3 linked regions of the Saccharomyces cerevisiae S288C genome follow. The gene in region 3 interacts genetically with the main gene of each other region. Each region holds a gene or a part of one and is shown on either strand. Other genes may lie near its edges.

Region 1 (3,375 bases), on a different chromosome or scaffold from region 3:
ATGCACGTCCTTTTAAAACTCAAAATACAACATTCTTAGTAAATCCTTTTGTTGACACACGTCGGAACAACTCAGGACGGAGTTAATGGATATGCTTCATAATAAATGTAGTGATGCTATCAAAAGCACCTCCAATAGCAATTTGAGTAATGAGGTAGACAAACAAAAATTGCAATACGATGACCTCGGGAACACCGGATTTTCTGAACTATTTGAGATGGAATCTCAAGATAATAATGATAGCATAGAGGATTTCTTGTTCTTTAATATAAATTTAACCCAGGAGGTTGAGTTCGAGAACCAAAGACAATATGAGCACACGAAAAAGACAAAGAAGCATAACCCATTCTATGTACCGTCAGAGGTAGTGCGAGAGATGGTCAAGAAACACGCATTGAATGGCAGAATATAGTTAAGCCCGATAACACATTCTATTTTTCATGTTTTAATAACGTTTCATATATGAATTTTTCTCAAATATACGATATATACCTAAATGAATATGCATATGGAAGTGAAGTTGGGGATTTTGCAAACTTGTCTTATGTTAATCTTGGCTTAAAGAATGTTTTCCAAAAGGCCGTTCTTATTAATTTTTCTTCTCTTGGTTCTGTTAAATGCTAGTGAATTCGCATTGACGTTCGTTGGTATGGCTACTGCTCCGAATGCGATTGGATGGCTTGCCTTCCTGCCACGATTACTGAACAAATCGAGTTCTACATTTGCATCCAACAGTAGTTCTTTCAATATAAACCACTTTCTTTCTTTCTGTGAAAGTTTTTGGTACTCTTCAAGCAAGTTCTCTTGGATTTTGGTCAGTATATCAATTTTTTCATCATCTGATAAGTCAGGGTCCTCAGTTTCTTGGTCCTGCTCCGCTGCATTTAATGTTACAATTTGGTCATTGACAGCTTGTAAAAAGTTGTCATTCATAGCGTAAAGATTGTCCTTGTACAACCTTGTCTTGAGGGTGCTTATATCTATCTCATCTTGGTTAGCGTTCGTTATTACATTCCCTGGAGAATTCTTTATCATTTCATAGTTCATTTTCGATATGTCATCCACGGCAACAATGTGTCTTTTGAATGTCGTGGTGTTTGTGTGAGTGGAAGCAGTTGAGGCGGCATTTGCATCGGTAGCTGTAGATGGGGTCGAAGAACCTTGTTGATTCAAGCCATCTGCGTTATGAAATTTTTTGTGATGTGGGTCTTTCTCCAAGAAATCTGGAGTTTTGACACTTTTGTAATGTTGAGTAGCTGCATGAGCAAACTGCACCTGTTTATTGGTTGCCAAGAGGTCTTCGAACTTCATTGTTATGATTCCATTGAAGACAGCTATGTCAGTTAACAACGCAATTCCCCCTTTCACACGAAAACCTTTTCTCTAAACATCCTTCTCTTTTATCATAATTCGTGGTTAGTGCCGGCCTAAAAATTTTTCAGCATATTAAAACAGAAGATAGAAAAGAAATAGAAAATGCGATGAGACGTCAAGTTTTCCAATTAAAGAGGACGTGAGAAAGGAGCTGTTAAACATGGATCAAAGTGTGGAAGACTTATTTGGAGCACTAAGAGATGCTAGTGCCAGTCTAGAAGTAAAAAATTCAGCGAAGGAACAAGTTTCTCTTCAACAAGAGGATGTTTTGCAGATAGGCAATAATGATGATGAAGTAGAAATTGAAAGTAAATTTCAAGAGATCGAAACTAATCTTAAGAAGCTTCCTAAGTTAGAAACCGGATTTGATGCTTTAGCAAACAAGAAGAAGAAGAAGAACGTCTTGCCTAGTGTGGAGACAGAAGATAAAAGAAAACCCAACAAGAGCGACAAAAACGATAATGACTGGTTTACCTTACCAAAGCCAGATGATAACATGCGTCGTGAAGTTCAACGAGATTTATTGCTGATTAAACATAGAGCTGCTCTTGATCCAAAGAGACATTATAAGAAGCAACGTTGGGAGGTGCCAGAGAGGTTTGCTATTGGTACCATAATTGAAGACAAGAGTGAGTTTTATAGTAGTCGTATGAACAGGAAGGAAAGAAAGTCGACTATTTTGGAAACACTCATGGGTGATGAAGCTTCTAATAAGTATTTCAAGCGTAAATACAACGAAATTCAGGAGAAATCTACGAGCGGTAGGAAGGCACATTACAAGAAAATGAAAGAGATGAGAAAGAAGCGGAGGTGAGATAATGGAATTTTCTTCGCCACGTATTCCATATAGTATATTGTAAAGTGGTTTAGATTACATAGAAATATTCAAAAGAATTAATAATTTGCATATCGTTTAAAAAAAAAAAACCTTTGAAAACATAGTAAAGAATTATCGGCTTTTGTACAGGATACGAATTAGTAGGTATAAAAGGAACAACCGCAGCAAATAAGTACGAGAAACGAGCCACTCACGTGAAAACATATAGAGAAAAGCGACCGGAGATAATGAAGCTAGGACATCGTGAGCAACAATTCTACTTGTGGTACTTCATCGTTCACATTCCCATCACCATATTCATCGACTCATCAGTGGTTATTCCCGCTAAATGGCAACTAGGGATTGCGCAAAAGGTTGTTAGTGATCACATCGCAAAGCAACACGATTTCCTGCTATCAGAGAAACCAGAATGGCTATACTGGTTTGTAGTCCTTGAGCTAGTTCTGCAACTACCCCTTTTCGTCTATTTCGTCAATAAATTCTGGAATTCAAGCGAATTACAAGTTAATACAAATAGCAGATTGAAAAAGTGGTTGCGTATCTATGGCTGGAATGCCTCTCTAACTACCTTGATATGTATCGTTGTTATTTTCAAGCGTGGTTACATTCCTTACGATGTGCTAAAAACAAGCTTGTCCATGACCCAGAAGTGTCAGTTAGCCTCGGTGTACCTACCTACATTCCTAATTCCTTTGCGTTTGTGTTTTGTGTAGCCTGTGTCGGCTATATATACAGTATTAGTGACTATATAGTTAATTAGTGACATATGCCACTAGTTTTATCTAATTATTGTGCTGCGTTTTGCAGTATTCTTTTTTATTTGAAACGCGTCACAAAAGTTTCGCGTCCTTAGGGAAATGGCTGGTTTTTGTTTTAAAATAGTATATTATCCTTGATGTAATTTAGCAAGAGTGTATTGTAAGGGAACAGTCTGTTACTGCCATTCCCTCATCGCTAGATCCCCCTTCCCTCGCTTATTCCGTTACTTTCGCTTTACTGAGCCATAACCAAGCGCACGCATACATATATATATATATATATATTGTGCTGCACGTATATATAAATAAATCACGCGTACAAGGATACGTTAGCCAAATTCTTTGGATATAACAAAACAGCTACAACTCATGGTTAATAATATCATGCACGAGTACGTACCACCC
Region 2 (2,951 bases), on a different chromosome or scaffold from region 3:
CTTTTTGTTGTTCAGGCAATCTTTGTTCAAATGGAGCTGCTCTAGTAGACATTTTTTCGTCGATAGAGGCAACTCTGGCCTTAACGGCAGCATCGTGGATAAACTTGGATTTACCTCTGGATTCAACAGATTTAGCGTTAGCTTCTAGGGCAGCAGCAACGTCTTGACCGGAAACGTTCTTGGTGATCACAACAACTTCATCCAATTTTTGAGTGGCGAAAGAGAAAAAGCCCTTGATTTCAGCGTCCAACTTGGTTTCGTTGTTCAAATCAACTGGTGTGTGCAATAGAGAAGAAGAAGTGGCAACAACGACTCTGTCAGCACCCAACTTTTCAATAGCCTTGTTAACGATAGCGGAAGACTTCTTGAAATCATTCTTCCAAATGTTTCTACCATCAACAATACCAACGGACAAGGTTTGTTTGTTACCAATGGCGGCAACGACTTCATCAAATTGTTCTGGAGCTCTAACAAAGTCAACGTGTAAGGCAGCAACTGGCAAGCCCTTGATGGCGTCTAAGTTAGGGACAACGGTACCGAAGTAAGTAGCCAAAGTAATCTTTGGTAGATTGCTTTGTTCACCGAAGTAAGTGTAAGCCTTCTTAATGGCGGCTTGGGCGTTGGCAGGCAAGTCCAAAACTAAGACAGGTTCGTCAATTTGAACTTCAGTGGCACCAGCAGAAGCCAATTTAGATAGGATTTCAGTGTATAGAGGCAACAATTGTTCCAATAGGGACAATGGTTCCAAATCTAGAGAATCCTTGTCAGCCTTACCCAAGAATAAGTAAGAAACTGGACCCAACAAGACAGGTCTAGTATGAATACCTAACTCCTTGGCTTCCAAAAATTCGTCAACTGGCTTTTGGCCGTTCAACTTAAATTGAGTGGTCTTGGAGAAAGTTGGTCTAACGTAATGGTAGTTAGAGTCGAACCATTTAACCATTTCCAAAGCAGTGACGTCGACAGCCTTTTCAGTTTCAGTGGCCTTTCTTTGTAAACCTCTACCCATAGCAAACAAAGTGTCGATTGGAGATAGATCGTACTTAGTGTAACGGTCTGGAATGACATTGAACAACAAAGACAAATCCAAAACTTGGTCGTAAAAGGAGAAGTCATTGGATGGGATGATATCAACACCAGCCTCCTTTTGCAACTTCCAGTTTTGAGTTCTCAAATCCTTACCGACCTTGAATAATTCATCGACAGTGATTTTACCGTTCCAGTAACCTTCAGTGGCCTTCTTTAATTCTCTGTTTGGACCGATTCTTGGGAACCCTAAGACAGCAGATTGAACCATTTTTGATATGTACTTTGAAATTATATTGGTATTTTGTTTCTTAGAGTGTTGTCAATGCTCTTAGATGCTTGCTTTTTTATGATAAAGGAAGAGTTTAACAAAAATATTGAATACGTAAAAGAGAAACTAATGCTAGTAAAGATGGAAATATCTATCACTTATATAGAATTTTTTTTTCTTTCCTTTTTTTCTTTCGCAGTTGGGAAAACTAGCTAGCTTCCCTTAAATTAGTGCATCTATCGCATTTGTTCCATATTCACATTCACAGTTCTCAATTGAGCAGAACGAGCTATGACTACCACAGTTTTGCGACCGGGAGATAGAGCGAAAGAGCTGCCATGACTGCGATGACTCTAGCGAAAAATATTGGCCTTTTGCACGTTCGCGACTAAACGAGTTCGATAGTAGTCCCGTTTCTGGTTTTTTCCCTTTACCGGCCCACATTTTTTCACCTGACTCCGGTCCTGACGTACGACTCTGTTTGTAAGTCACGTGAAATATTTCCTGTGGCTTTTACTAGTAATGTGCACGTGATGTGGCGTGATGGTCCTTTACCCGGAGTGCGGGACCCTGGTTCATGAAAAATTGTGTGAAATCAACTGCATTTTTGGAAGCGAAAAAGATGATGAACCTGAGTTGAATGGCTGTGGGAAACCAATACTTGACTGATTATAAAACAAGAAAAAAATGCCTAGTAAAGATCCAGAGAGCGTTATAGACAAAGAAATACGGAAGATATCAGCAAGAAATGATGAGCTTATCAAACAGGATGGGACTCTAAAAAGGGAATACACTACATTATTGAGAAAAGTATCGAGCGTGATAACGGTACTGAACAGTATTGATGATGCAGATACTGGTTCTGCTGAAACGGAACTCCCACGCTTAATATCTCAAGCAACAGTAGAGAAAGTACCCGAATTGAAGTGGTACAATGATCAGATATCACTGATTACAGAAAAGTTGGAGGACGATGAAGATATTGAGGTTCCCGAGGAGCTAATGGATGCTTATACTCTGTACAAGGAAACCCCATTATTATATAATGATACGCACACACCATAACGGTTTTGTATGCTGTGGTGTAGGGAAGTGCCTGGGTCTATGGAATATTGTGACTATATACATTTATACATGCGGCCCTTTTTTGCTCTAACGTGTAAAATTAGCCGGCCTTTTGTCCCTTTTGTTGTCGTGCCTGATGACATTTTCAAGCGCTCTATTGTTAATAAATAGTCCGCAAAGAAACTTCCTAACATGTGGCTTAAACCGATACTTCGACATCATATTAAATACTTTGAAGAACATTTTCTCGTTTTCAAAAAGCCTTGGACCGTATTTATTGTTTATTTCTGTAATCTCCTTCACTGCGTGATTTGAAAGGATATGATTGCCTAGCTGACTTACTATATGTAGTACCTTGCTCTCGATGGAGTCATCGTCATTGCGGTATTGTGTAACATAGGGAGAAGAAAGGCCTTCGTTTGCGAAAAGACTACTATTTTCACCTGAAACAGTGATAGTTTGACTTGTGATATCGTTGTCGTATTTATTAGTAATGATTTTTTCATTTAATGGATTCTCTGCGGTATCTTTCTCTTTGAGTAGTTTGTCCAAATCAAATTCGATGGGTAAGCATTTTTCTATCAAGTCG
Region 3 (2,817 bases):
AAGGGTAAAAAAAATAATGAATGTGAGGTTGTTCTACGCATGGAAGTTGCTACAAAAGGGGTGGCAACTGATGGAAAGACTTTTTACACAAAGATTGACAGCATTACTGACAAATTTCTAATGAACCAGACGCGCCGCTTCTTTTAGTGTCGTTTGGTAACCGCTTTTTCTTAAGCTGGCAGAGACCGCCAAAAATAAGAGAGTCGCTTGTAGTGGGACAAATAATGAACAGAGAGGCTTTTTGATACCAGTATCGTTGAGTTGGGAATGAAATGAAATATAACGATGCAATCGTCGCCATTCCTGTCAGAATATAATCGACGGTCATGTTATATAATTGTTTTATAAACGCCCACTTCTTGGCTGTATCTTTTATAATGTCCTTTTTTCCTGAAGAGGGTTTCCATCTAATTTTCTTTTACAGTCTGTAGCCTTACTTCTGGCCCTTTAACTAAATACATTTGATTTATATTGCATATTTACTCATACAATTGTATATTTGTTGTTCTTTTTTGGTCGGCTACCAGATTTAGTACTTAATGTAACCAATTTGTGAATTTCATAAATGACGTGCCAAACTAGAAAGTGTGGGGCCCTGAGAACAACTTTAAGCTGTTGACATTACCTTATGAGTCCAGTCCATCCTCTCCTTCTTTTTCAAGTTGTTTTACTTCAGGATCCTCATCTGCTGGTTCTTTTTTCCTTGTAGCTTTGTCATCTGATCCTTTAACGTCAGATGCAGTAAACTCGCTTCCCCTTTGACGTTCTTCTCTTACGTCTCTTCTTATCCAGCCGGTGAAATTTACCTTATAACCACTGAAGCTCTTGATCTCTATGGCTTTATTCTTGTAATCCCACGGAAGTACAGGTTTGCTATTATCTCTCGAATTGGCAGAGGGAGGGCTTGTATCCTCTATTTTAGGGTTATTGGCTAGTTGTTCTTGCGATTCTGATAAAACACTACTTTCTTGGGACATACCACAATTACTCGAGAAATTGGATTTATCTTCCGGCCAATATAAGTAAAGAATGTGTTGGCATTATAGTACATTTTGTTGATATCTTTAAAATTACTTGGATTATGAGAATGATTACCCGTCAACTGCTTGGTAAAGTTTTAACGTTCAAGAAAAGCTCTAGACGGCGTAACGCACCTTTTGTTATGAGCGTTAGAAAAATTAGTGACTAAGAGGATGAGATGATAAAATGCATATGATGTTGAATATGGAAAATAAAATGTTATATTCTTACTCAACGTAACCTGCCATTTGTAGGAGTTAAAAATTATGTAGTAGACTTAAATCTCTCCTTATTGTCCTAAATACTTGTAATTACATACACATATATATGTATAAATATTCGGGAAATTTTACAACTGTTGAGATTTCATAAAGATGATAATTTCAGATACAAAGTGTTTCTATATGCCGAAATTTCCGCTTCTAATGTTATCATATAGCTTCTTTCTCTCCTGTCTTTTGTTAATATTTCCATGCAGTTTGTTTCCCTGAGGAGCTTCTGGTAGGTAAAATTCACTATTTACAGCCCCCATAGGCTGAGCGGGTACGGAATAGGCATTCTGCTGCATGCCTTGGGGAAAACTACGCCTGTTAGCACCAGCTGTGTAACGTATCGGCTCCTGAGCTGGTACCATATGGGACATCATTGGAGGTGCTCGCATAGGTGGAGGTCCATTGTAGTATTCCGCAGGTACGACAGGTTGAGCTTGCGGTGAATACCTATTAACGTGCTGCTGTGGATATTGATTGGGGCGAACTCCCTTTGGTACCATTTGCGGCGGATTATTGCTCCACTTTCCATCTAACATATGAGCATTGCCTGCCCGGCTGTTCCCATAAGCATTTGTTGTGTTATTATGATACGGCGGCTGAGTTACCTTGTAAGTATTTACAGGGTGCTGGTGGTTAGGGTTCATTCGTTCCATTTGTTGATATAATGGAACGTTAGATGGAAGATTGGGCACACCTTGTTTTACTGGCACCATATGTTGGGGAATAGGTGAAGCATCTGCCCGTTGATTTCTGGACTTTAGTTCTGGGGGCACAATATTGTTTTGGAAGGGACGTTGTTTTTGTTGGTGAGATGGATAATTATGCTGGTCCCGATATGTCATATGTGGTTGATTTGCTAAAACGTGAGCAGGATCATTATACCCAACGGGTACATTAATCGTGTTCTGCTTGAATCCAGCCGAATTGGTGGAGAATTGTGGAGACCTCGCAGGTGAATATGCAGAAGGTGGAACTGGTGCACTTGCAGGCGACATTTCATTTCTACGATCGTTCTGATAGTATTTTTGCTGAACAGGAGATACACAGTCTCCAGGCGCATTTTTATATGGTTTTGGTGTTACCTGTTGAGATGGACTGACTGCACCTTGTAAGACGTTCAGGCGAGACTCATTCGTAAATGCCTTTTTCGAATCCGAATTTGAATAAGTGGGTTGACTAGGCATTCTTGATGCCGGCAAGTTGTTGATATTTGGAGAATAATATGATGATGAATCGTCGTTGACTTTGGATTCCTCAGAAATCTTTCTAGGTTCCGCTAATTTCCTATCAGCGGTGTATTTGGAACTATCAGCGCAAGAATCATTTGTATTTGTACTTAGCTTCAATGAGTGAACGGCGCTTGAATGGCTGCTTTGTAAGTCATCGTCAGTTATATTGGATGGCTTATATTGATCAAACTTTGTCAATGATTCGAAAGTCTCTGCCTCAGTTATGGAGATTTTTACATCGTCTGGCTCATTAATCATCATTTCTTCAACCATACCGTTTAATTCTTCAATAGCTG

Evidence for each region.
Region 1: mutations in IES4 (region 3) and IES3 together harm fitness more than expected from each alone (negative genetic interaction), as found in Saccharomyces cerevisiae (3 studies listed by BioGRID).
Region 2: mutations in IES4 (region 3) and IES5 together harm fitness more than expected from each alone (negative genetic interaction), as found in Saccharomyces cerevisiae (4 studies listed by BioGRID).

The regions. Positions count from the first base shown.
Region 1 is NC_001144.5:245,137-248,511, reverse strand, and holds IES3 (Ies3p), read right to left. Parts: upstream 1,312-3,375; coding exon 559-1,311; downstream 1-558. Other genes in the region: NRS1 (Nrs1p), read left to right, coding at 86-412; FCF2 (Fcf2p), read left to right, coding at 1,535-2,188; EMA19 (Ema19p), read left to right, coding at 2,440-2,925; MLO50 (Mlo50p), read left to right, coding at 3,340-3,375. UniProt on the Saccharomyces cerevisiae protein: Probably involved in transcription regulation via its interaction with the INO80 complex, a chromatin-remodeling complex.
Region 2 is NC_001137.3:340,871-343,821, forward strand, and holds IES5 (Ies5p), read left to right. Parts: upstream 1-1,984; coding exon 1,985-2,362; downstream 2,363-2,951. Other genes in the region: MET6 (5-methyltetrahydropteroyltriglutamate-homocysteine S-methyltransferase), read right to left, coding at 1-1,297; TORC2 complex subunit TSC11, read right to left, coding at 2,450-2,951.
Region 3 is NC_001147.6:687,784-690,600, reverse strand, and holds IES4 (Ies4p), read right to left. Parts: upstream 978-2,817; coding exon 627-977; downstream 1-626. Other genes in the region: MSB1 (Msb1p), read right to left, coding at 1,421-2,817.